Linked DNA regions of Arabidopsis thaliana. The main gene of each other region encodes a partner of the protein of the gene in region 3 in a complex. Each region holds a gene or a part of one and is shown on either strand. Other genes may lie near its edges.

Region 1 (3,754 bases), about 19 Mb from region 3:
CATGATTCTACAATTTTTTAGATAGTGGCAAAAGATAATCCAGAGAAAACTTACATAAGGTTCTATGTGTATGTGAGGATTCTGTAGAAGACTTCTAACAATGTGCATTAGATTAAACAGGAGTCGGAAGTCATTTAAGCCATTTGAAACCTGCACAAGTGGAGAAAATTAAAACTGCAAAAACTTAACGTGGGTCTTATTGGTTCACACTAGTTCCTCGGTGGTGCATAATGTTACCTCATCAGCAATGAAATTTGTAAAATATGGAACTAGAGGATGAAGTCCTGAGTCTGAGGCCAAGCTCACTAATGCTTCTTTATACAGAGGAGGATTTGACTTGCTCATTGCAAGTTCAGCAATCTTTTGGAAGTATAACTGTGAAGAGAGAACAACAGATAAGTCCTATGTATGTAAGGATATTACCCTATGATATTTAGACTGCACCATATACCTGAAGTTCCCTAGATAGTACATGCTTCACTGGTAGCCTAACGTCAATAAGAGGTCCGTCTTTTTGTTCATGGATTTTGGTTTCTGCAGGTGCTCTAATGACTAGAGACAACACAAACAAGTGAAAAATATAGTCAAGATAGGAAAGAACAAGGATTTCTTGCTCATGCGGATCCGCAAAACAATAATACAGATGGATCTGAAAATATGTATTTTGATCTTTCAGTAACATCAGTAAGCTCACCACTTAACACGGGGTAACTGTAGAAAGAGGTTTATACACCTCTGAAACGTCATTGTACATACTAATATTTGTTTCATGTTGAAAAATTCATATAATGACTTTACAACTCTAGCCCAGGGCATAAGATTGAGAGACAAACCTTCTAAAGGAGCATTTTCTGGTATAGCTGGTTGCACTCCTTCAATAGCCAGCCAGTGACAAACAATTTCAGTATCAAGGGGAGCTTTTGGCAGCGGGGCTTCGATCACCTAGAATCATGACATTTCTTGAAAACATAAGGAACCCAAAATGAAGAATTTAACTGAAACAAAAAAAACATGCCAGCTTTTCCAACATCTTACATCTTTGAAATCCACTTCTCTGTCATCAGTGTAGAACAAATCGCGATGTCCAATAGCTTTTCTAAAACGAAATGGCCCTCCTGAGGCAAATCCATATATCGGCTGCAATAGATATAATCACTCTCAAAAAGATGCCTTTGATTCAGTTGACTACAATAGTGAAATATGTGAAAGCAATGTGTAACAGATGGTGTTATTCATATGCACCAGTAAAGCCAAACCTCAAAACTAGAAACCATATATCTTTGTCACTCAACTACAAAAACCAGGAAGCTTACACAACCAAAACTCTAGATAATGGGAAGTAAGAAATAGGTCATCGAGTTTGTACCTCAACGTTCCTTAAGTTGAGAGCACCATCTACATCCGAAGCTGTTAAAGTCGTTCTCTTTGAGTGACGCATGCATTTGATAGCTTCCTGAAAGGACATCCAAAGAGAAGGTACAGAAAGATCAATATGCTGATACCAGAAAACTCACCTCAAGAACACAAAGACATGATTAGAAAAAGAAGGTAACCTGCATGATCTCTCGGACACGATACTCAACATCAGGAGCAAGCATAAGAGCAGCTTCAGGTAACAAGTTGGTAATCCCAATACTTTGAGCTATTACCTCAACCGTTTCCTTAGGTACAATGCTCATCTTCCCCAGGCTGCTTATCCACTGTGGCGATACAAGGACACAGAAGAAACATCAACAGTGGTTATATTAAGTAAGAAAAAAGCACAAAAAATCATTGGAACCTCCCAATTAAACCATTGTTGGGCATACACAATGAATCGCAATTCAACAGCCCAGAAGACAAAGGCTGCTTCCATACTCCGTAAAAGTGTGAAATTTGTCCCGTTAACCAAAATTCGAGCACAAAAATAAGTTGGAAATTTACATGAACCGGAGAGGGATTTGCGTTGAGCGACGAAGATCCAGACACTTCACTTGAGAGGAAAGAAGCTCCGATTAACCGATGCCAAGCCTCTTGTTAATATAAGAAGCCGGGCCGGGTTTTTTAATTGCTGTCAAATTCACCCGGTTGGACTATTTCGGGTTAAATTAAATTTGGGCTGTCTCTATATCTATTTTGGGCCAAGGCCCAATAAGAGCGAAATATTTTATTTCTCTGCCAACTAAAGACAATTAATCCTACGAGAAAGGACGAAACAAATGTTTCAAGACAGTAGTTCTGTCTTCTGTGGTAGTTCTTTCTATTTTCTACACAAACAAAATTGATCCAAACACAAAAGGAAAAAGGAGCACAAAAGTCCAAATCAATGAAGACATCAACATACGTGAAAGCCTTAATCACACTCTTTCTTTACAAACATCAAGACCAAATATAATTAGGGGCAAACCAAATTGTTGGTGGATGCAATAACATATGTAGATTTTTCTTCTTTTTACATGAAAAAATAATTGCCAGTCCCAGTATCAGAATTTGGGACGAATACAAGCAATTTCTTTGTATATCAACCAAAATAATATTAGGATAGTCCTGAAACATCCCGTACCCAAGATATTCCACCTGGAAACGCTCTATGAACTCTGCTTCTTCCCGCTGCAGTGACTTTTGTTTTTTCCCCCATCACCATAATTTCTTTCGCCATAACCGGCTTGTGTATTACATTTGCATCCTCTTTGCCTTCCGTCAGAAACCGCAGACCCTGGAGTTTCCATAGTTTTATAGTTTTAGAAAGCCAAAGAAACATCATGACATGAAATCATCAAATAACAGCTACTACCACAAGTATTTTCAGGTTCCAATTTTTATTCGAATAAGCTTGATGAGAGATTGCCTTGAATATATGCAAATTCAAGATCAACCATCTCGTTGAATTTTTTCACTATAAGCAACTTTTTTGCGTCAACAGAATGGAAATGCACATTTATATGATGGAAAAAGGTATAGTAGCATTCTTACAGAGAGAGAAGTATTAGTGGATGGTTTTCCATCAATAGGTAATCTCTCACCAACATCCTAAACCACAAAGCCAGAAACAAGATTTTTTTCATTAAGGCCTATAACTACGTGAAAAATAAGTAAGAAAACGTTTCACTTAATTTGTAAGTTAACACTCACCTGAAATACTTTAGTACTTGTGCTGTCTTTAACGCCTGCAACTTGACATAGATGCCATAGTCCAGAGAGGGTCACATCCTAAAATTTTAACAAAAAAAATATCTGTTTGAGATCAATTAGTTTTAAGAAAATTGATAGCGTGAAGTGGTTTGTAGTATCTAATGGTTGTAGACAAATTACTTGTTTGCTTTCAAGACTTTCAATCTTCCCTTCCTGTAAAAATTTCATATAAGAGAGTAAAGATATATTAGCCCCTTTAAAATATGCATATTAGAGGGCAATGATGCATATTAGAGGGCAATGATGAGACTTACTATTCCAGAAATCATTTCATTAAGTTGCTTAAAATCAAACCCAATTTGCGAAATGCTTGATCTCATCTCAGTAACCTGAATTGAAGCAAGATTCCATGTGAGCATTAGCATTAAAATGAATATCAAAGAAAGGCATAGATGGAGTAAATCGCAGATATGAGAATCAAGCTGTAATTTGAAAGAAACAAAGGACTCTACTGTACATGTGAAGAAAAACAGTTCAGGGCCAAAGAGATAGGACGTTAATAAATAAATACTCTACAATCTTTTGGAATTCCTAAATGTGTTTTAAATTCTTCTAAGATGTTAAATGTACAAGAGGAGATCTC
Region 2 (3,754 bases), 8.8 Mb from region 3:
GTTACATTTATATCTGGTAGAGATGAACCCAGCTTATCTGCCAATGCAGAAAGATGTTCTTTGGCGTCCTGAAAAGTTTAAATGTTAGCATTGGCACAGGTATGCTTGGTGGAGAATTTGCAACTCATAGTTAATAAAATACATATATCCTAAGTCCAGAGAGAATAGACAGAAAAACTGAGACCGATAATGAAAATAATGTGTTCAACAAGGTCATCATACTGAAAGCGTAAAACAGATTACCTCATCAAGGTAATCAGCGTCCAAGTCCCCAGAGTTATCAACATTTCCAAAGATGAATCCAAGGTTAAAACCCCTGCTGTTGTCCTCATATTCATCATCGTCATCTGCAGCAGACATGTAAAATATTGGTGTTCACCAAACAAATCTTGGCAGACATGTAAAATATTGGTGTAAAATGGGAATGCATGTGATAACTGATTATCATCACGAGTATTCAGAAATCACAAAGATTGCATGTTAACACTCTTGTTAAACTGCTAAATCCAAGGTCACATAATCATTGGATTCCTCTCCATCATCTTATCAGGCTACAGTAGCCTCCATCTAGTGAAACTACTATTCCCATTCTCTTCGTCATCTAAGATCCTACAAACTCAATTCCCTCTAGAAATTTAGAAAAAATAATCTTAACTATACCCTAGAACATGTCCAGGATCACTCAAGACTGCTCCTTTTCTACTTAAAGAAATCCAAAATATTCAAAACCGTAAATCGGTCATGAGCTAGCCTAAATGCACCAAACACTAGCTAGACAGGGACATCTCTAGTTTCACAAACTGTAGTAATCCAAAATTCCACAACCTAATATTTCCAATCTCTTTGTCAATTAAGATCCTACAAACCAATACTCAGAATCACTCAAGGCTGTTCCTTTTCTACTTAAAGAGACTTAATCCGAAATATTCAAAACCGTAGAACAATCATAAGCTAGACAGGGGCATCTCCAGTTTCAGAAATCATGTCGACAATGGACTGGACCGGAAAAAAGAAAAGCAACAAACTTTGATAAAGAAAGCAACATATATATACCTGAGGAAGTCTCGTTGTGGGAACCCTTGCCATTGGATTCAGCCATATTCAAAGATTTAACTACAATGGTGACAATCGGGAGACGACAAGGCAATTGTCCTTCCCAAATCCCCAACCATTAAAACTCAATCAAAACCTTCAAAAGAAACAAAAAAAACTACACAATTACAAGCCAACCTAAACGGACCTGGAAACAAAAAAAGCTAACTTCTTTATCTGAAACTTCATCAAAAGAGTCTCAATTTGGCTTTAAAATCACAACCAAATCGAAACCCCATTGATCAATTTTCGAGTTAAGCTGAGTTGCAATCAAAGCATTGGATAAAATTGAAGAAGACGATACGATACCATTCACTGATACGAGATTGTTGGATTGGAGGGTTCTTTCTTGAAACCCTAATTGAGGGTACAAGTAAGCTTCGCCGGAAAGGTAAACCAGCTCAATCGGACGAGACGGTACGATGTCGGAGAGAAGTTCCGAGGTAAGCAAACTCTCAAATCGGAGGAAAAAAAAAAGTAATAACAAAAAAAAGAAGAAAATTGCGAAGCGACCAAGACAAGATTGTGAGGGCATTTATAAAAGTTTTATAACCCGACCCGAATAAAGTTTGAGTCCGGGTCTAATTTCTTAACCAGGAAAAATCAATTTCGTTGTTTGGTATGGAGGTGGTTAAGCAGAAATAGAGTCGGTTCTGAAGTAATTTTTGTTGTTGTTTAATCAGTGGTAATTTTACGAATTTAATAGATATATACCTATGATATTTCTTTAAAATATCTTTCTACCAAAATTGCAAAAGAAAATTGAATTTTAAAAGTATTATAAAAACATAACTGTTATAGTTCTACATTTAAATTTTCAATTTTTAATAATATTTTAATCACTTTAATTTTATTTTTTCGATCGACTAACATTCTAATATCCAAATTTAAGGCACACAAGTTTAATTGATAGTTTTATTTTTTTCATCGAATAACATCGGATGTGAAACTCTTTATTGCATACCTTGTACATATATAAAAATCAATAACATGTTGATTTTAATTATATAAAAAAATTTAATATTAAATAAAACCAGATTGAATAAAAATGGATATTAAGAAAATATATAGGTTCTTTTATTTTATGGACCACTGCGTCGGTAACTATGACGAAGTAAAACGGCAGTAGCCGTTAAAAAAAATAAAGTAAAATGATCCATATAGACAGATCGGAGATGTCGCTGAAAAAATAGAAGTGTCGTTGGAAAAAATAGAGATATTGATCTAACAACGTAGGAGTCGTGAAAAATATAGCGGCCTAAATGAACATAATCCAGCTTTTCTTCCATTGTCAGTTTTGAACAACCAGCAACGAATTTTATAATAAATTATGCCATTTATTTCTCATTTCGTTCTTTAATTTTTAGTCATCAAATTTAATCGCAACGACCAATACAAGAAGAACATGGTATAATCATACCAAATCATTGATTCAATATTACCTTATTAGATTTTATAAAATTCATTATCCATTCAACAATTGTACCTCAACATTTTCAAATGTACCTCAACAAGCAATTTTTTCTTTATTTAGTTTAACCTAAACAAGGAATTTATTTTTATTTTTACCATAACCATCATGAACTTTGTTGACTTGTTAAATGTCTCTATCTCCTTCTAACGAAATTATCAAAATCAATTTCTGTTCCTTATACTCCAACCAAATAGTGGTCCTGATTCTAAATCCTAGTTCTAAAATTAAGCCTTGTATTTTCTCTTTTTTATTAACGTAAAATCAAACAAAACAAATATCTCAAATATTTTGTTAAGAAAAAAGAATTCTTTATTCAACGAAAAATATGGATTAAAAAGAACACCAAAGCCACGTGCATTGTCACTTCCCAACTTTAGAAAAATTGTATTTATATAAACAAGTTTTATCTAATTAGCAGTTTTATGTTATTTTGTCTTTAATCTCACTTCACCGTCTCTCTTTCACTCAATCTCCGTGATTCATTTTTTCTCCGACGTTGCTTAATCCTCGAAATCTCCGGCGATGGGTGGTTGCGTCTCCTCCAACCTCCTTACTCCGACCGATGACAGCAGCTTCTCTCACCTCACCAGCTCCTCCTTAAGCCAACATTTCGTCAAGCTAACTTCCACCACTTACGGTCTTCTCAATCTCGACTCTTCTTCACCTTCTCCTCCGTCTCCTTCCTCCTCCTCCTCCGCCAAATCCGTTATCACGCCAATGACTCCGCCTGAGAGATTCACTATCAACGGTAAGGAGGCGGCGATGATGATGGTTAAGTCTGAGCCGACGACGGAGGTTATTAACTTCTGGGAGCTAATGTCAGGTTTAGACGGCGATACTTGTCGATTCTCTCCGATTCCGGTGAAATGTAATGGATTTTCCGGCGGATTAAAGAAAGAGAACTCCGATCCTAATTTGAAAAACCCTAACGATTACGAGGTTTTGAAACCGTTAGATCCGAAATTAGCGGAGGAATCTGAGAGGTTATGTGACGGCGGAGAGAATCGCGTTGTGATTTATACGACGTCGTTGCGCGGTGTTCGACGGACGTTTGAGGCGTGTAACGCCGTGAGAGCTGCGATTGAGAGTTTTGGTGTAGTGGTTTGTGAGAGAGATGTGTCAATGGATAGAGGATTTAGAGAAGAGTTATCCAATCTAATGGCGGTAGAATCGACGGCGGCGGTGTTG
Region 3 (3,754 bases):
AATAACCGAAATTGAACTAGAATAAACAGAATCTTTGGTGTAGTTTGAACGCAAAACAACTTTTCCATTGAAAAAGGTCGAACAAGACATCATCAAATCATGGGGACATAATTATCCATGATTTTCTAAGACAGGACTTGCGCAAACTCTAAGCTTTCGTAAGAAAAATCTCTTTATATAATAATAAACTCACATTGAATCATCAGAATCTTCTGATTCACTTCTCTCCGGTTCAACTCCTGTTGGATTACTAGTGCCTGTCTCAGGAGCTTCAGGCTTTTCAACAGGTGTAGGTGAAGAAGAAGATACTTTCTTACTTGCATTACTAGCATTCTCGTTCGTAGCTGGTTCCTCTTGCTCATGTACCTACACCAAAAAAAGTTCAAATAAATGAAGTTACTAAATCCAAGGAGCAAATATAGACACATCATGTGTCGAAAATAGAAAGAAAAGCTTACATTTTCTACCGTTCCGCCACTCAATATATTCAACAAGTCTCTCTCAACCCGCTGTACAAGCTCCGGCTGCAACATTTTGGCAAATCAATATGTTAACTTAATAGAAAGAACTTTGGAGTTCCAAAAGATACGTTTCACTACAGACTTTCAATCATAATCACAAGTATTAGTGAAACAATGTTGATGGATAGATAACAACAAATGAAAATTACATTAAGGTCAGGCTCTCGACGAAATCTCCTCTTTCGAGCATCCTTCATTGGAGGAGTTAGACCATGTCTGTATTCAACTGTATTAGGCGCAGGATCACCAGGCTCCCTAACCATGATCATCTGTGTGCCAAATCAAAGCATCCATATTGAGTTTTAGTCCAAAATTACAGAAGTTAACGCATATAAGTAAAAGATGAATCAAGTAACTTGATTTTACCTGCCCAATATCAGCAGTTTTGACTAATGCACAATCATCATAAGTTTTAAAAGACTCAACAACTGCAGGGAGATCAAGCAGAGAAGCCGGGAACTCGTCGTTTCCAATCATAAACGTCCCGTTTCTCCCATCCTCTGCAAATTCAGTTCACACAAACATTACGTATCAAGTTTGCTCCAGAGACAATATGCAAATGGATTTCTAGACAAACTATAATGATGCAACAAGAATGTCTTTTGGCTTCTTTGACAAAACAGACAATTCACAACATTAAGCTGATCCAGGAGACACAAATCACAAGCTTTGATCCTTAATCAGATTCAAGAATGTCTTTTGGGCAAACCAACATTCAAGAACTCATCACGTGACACAAGGAGCAATCCCCGAAACGATCCAGACACTAATTTCATTGATTGACGACTAAAGGACATAAATTTAAGAAAAAGGATGAAACTTTAACCCAGATGTAATGTGCCAAAAAAGAGAGAAACCCTTTAAAAATTGGTACCTGAAAAAAACAAATCCAAAGGGATTTCGTCGGAAGTAGAAGCATCCTCGCTTAAAAGCCGATCAATTCGTTCTGAAACAGACGGTGGAACCCTAAGTATGAACTGTTCTTCCATTGTAGATACCAACAGCTTGACTTGAATTCTTCTTCTTAATCAATCCAGAAACGTGAATTCGCGAACGCAGATCGTATCGAATACGTATACTTCGGTCTGTTGATGTCGTAAGTCGAAAAGAGACGAGAATCTATTGAACTGAAACACGAATTCTTTGTTATGTTAGAGAGAGAGAGAGAGAGAGAGAGAGAGAGAGACATTATAAGATAAACCTTCTAGAAGTATCCTTTTAACAATTTATTATTTTATTTCCCTCCCTAAAGGTTTCAAGATTTATGTTTTGACCAAAATAATTATAAAAGGTACAAACAGAACCCAACAATTGGTGAAAAATCACCAATTTGCTATTTAATTCTATTGAATTTTACATTTTTAGTTCCTCTTAGATAATTGATCTCACTAAGTATAAATGTATAATGATAATAAAAAGGAAGATAATTTAATTACCAGAAATTGGAATGGAGCATCTATCAAATAGAAAACTTTAAGGGGATTTTAATACTTTAAAATAATTTTGAGGGGGTTAAATGTAAAACGTAAATAATATAAAGAAACCCTAATAAATAAGTCGTTCATTGATCAATCTTCTCCAATTCTTGCAGCATCACTTCTCCGTCGTTCCTCACCACCGAGATTCGTTCACCGGTAAGTCTTATCCCTGATATTTTGCTCTTCTTCCCAACCGTATATACCCGTATCTTCTTCTTTCTCTGTCGAATAAACTTGGCTTTTCCGACTTCGATTCCTTCAATTGTAAACAACTTCGTTGCCCGTACAACTTTTTGAGTCCGGTGAAAGATCCCGTGACGGAAAAAACTGTAGATCAGGCAATTATTATGTCTATACATCGATATAAAGGATTGAATCGTTCATCTTAAGTAAGTTTGACGAAAGTTGTGATCTTTTGTGCCTATTCACATATAACGTTTCTTAGCTCCTATCTTTTGAAATTGAGCTGATTCGATCTCTACCTGAATTGCATGTGATCTTATTTTGATATAATTTACTATTCAATTAGAAAATATGATCTTTCTAGATTGATTGCTTCTTTAAAGTTCTCTTAGACGCTGGTGTTATAGCTCTTGTGTTTGTGGTCTCTTCTCTCTTAAATATCCAACCTCTTTTGGTGTATTTTCTAATCTAGTTTGTGTTGACTGACTGATAGAGAGATTGAAGCTTGACTCAATGAGGGGAAGGAGCTACACTCCGTCACCACCTAGGGGTTATGGGAGGAGGGGTCGAAGCCCAAGCCCTAGAGGCCGATATGGAGGTCGTAGCAGGGACCTCCCGACCAGTCTTTTGGTTCGCAATCTACGCCATGATTGCAGGTACATACTTTTGACTTCTCTATTATTTTCTTCAGCCATTGTGGATGATGTTATTGTTTGCACACCTCTTAAGCAAGAAGACTTGACACCTCTTAGCATATTTTGGCATGATGTTCTCTTATCTTTACTGTAAAGGTTTTCAAAAAGTTGACGTCAATGTATCTTCATTTCTTGGCTTTTAGCAAATTGTAATTCTCTTCTTACTCCTTGTCCTTTTCTTCAGGCAAGAAGATCTCAGGAAGTCGTTTGAGCAGTTTGGTCCTGTCAAGGACATTTACCTGCCAAGGGATTATTATACCGGGTGAGCATGTTTTGTAAATAGGACAACCAACACTTGATTTTTACTTATGTTCTGATTAGAAAATATCCCTATTTTCACATCTTCTTTCTTGATTTGTTTACTACGTTTATCTGCCTTTCCTTTTTCTTTCGGTCATCTCTTTGTGTCTTCTCATGGATACTAGGGCCTTATGAGAATCTTCTTAAAAACTGATTTCATAAATTAAATTTAGGCTCCATATTTTTCAGATAGTAATTTTCTGTGACATGACAATAGACAGTGAGCATACTTGTGGTCTTAAACCACTAGTTTTCGGTGTCGTTAGGTGGATTAGTCGTTTAGAATTTAGTACCTGGTGAGACCTCATAGTTTTTAGTCGCTTAAGGAAAAGGATACATGATGATATGTTCCATGTCTGAACACACTATGAGTGAGTTAATTGAAGTTGTTGAGGTTTAGCAGTGAATCTAAAGAATTGAAGACATCAAAGAAGTAATTAGAGTTCTTATGAAGATGTTCTATATGGTAGTGAAGAATTGAAGTGAAGTTGAGTTTGTATTCTATGTGAAGATGAATCAAGTCTTCAAGAAGTCATCTTTGTACTGACACTTGCAAGGCTAGCAGGCAAGTGCTTGC

The links.
Region 1: TAF7 (region 3) and TAFII59 share a complex: the UniProt entries of both Arabidopsis thaliana proteins name them as parts of the TFIID complex.
Region 2: TAF7 (region 3) and HAF01 share a complex: the UniProt entries of both Arabidopsis thaliana proteins name them as parts of the TFIID complex.

Annotation. Positions count from the first base shown.
Region 1 is NC_003070.9:1,405,506-1,409,259, forward strand, and holds the start of TAFII59 (TATA BOX ASSOCIATED FACTOR II 59), read right to left. Parts: upstream 2,027-3,754; 5' UTR 1,924-2,026; exon of another isoform or gene 1,701-1,923; 5' UTR 1,680-1,700; coding exon 1,554-1,679; intron 1,454-1,553; coding exon 1,367-1,453; intron 1,138-1,366; coding exon 1,036-1,137; intron 943-1,035; coding exon 834-942; intron 553-833; coding exon 452-552; intron 376-451; coding exon 238-375; intron 151-237; coding exon 55-150; intron 1-54. Other genes in the region: AT1G04960 (golgin family A protein (DUF1664)), read right to left, coding at 2,516-2,695, 2,953-3,009, 3,112-3,189, 3,292-3,324, 3,426-3,500. UniProt on the Arabidopsis thaliana protein: TAFs are components of the transcription factor IID (TFIID) complex that is essential for mediating regulation of RNA polymerase transcription. Required for proper pollen function. May stabilize the interaction of TFIID with selected promoters.
Region 2 is NC_003070.9:11,855,163-11,858,916, forward strand, and holds the start of HAF01 (HAC13 protein (HAC13)), read right to left. Parts: upstream 1,604-3,754; 5' UTR 1,402-1,603; intron 1,190-1,401; 5' UTR 1,100-1,189; coding exon 1,054-1,099; intron 348-1,053; coding exon 244-347; intron 69-243; coding exon 6-68; intron 1-5. Other genes in the region: AT1G32760 (Glutaredoxin family protein), read left to right, coding at 3,089-3,754. UniProt on the Arabidopsis thaliana protein: TAFs are components of the transcription factor IID (TFIID) complex that is essential for mediating regulation of RNA polymerase transcription. Core scaffold of the TFIID complex.
Region 3 is NC_003070.9:20,627,981-20,631,734, forward strand, and holds TAF7 (TBP-associated factor 7), read right to left. Parts: upstream 1,713-3,754; 5' UTR 1,511-1,712; coding exon 1,396-1,510; intron 1,022-1,395; coding exon 888-1,021; intron 791-887; coding exon 671-790; intron 525-670; coding exon 174-524; 3' UTR 43-173; downstream 1-42. Other genes in the region: SCL33 (SC35-like splicing factor 33), read left to right, coding at 2,696-2,838, 3,062-3,139, 3,707-3,742. UniProt on the Arabidopsis thaliana protein: TAFs are components of the transcription factor IID (TFIID) complex that is essential for mediating regulation of RNA polymerase transcription.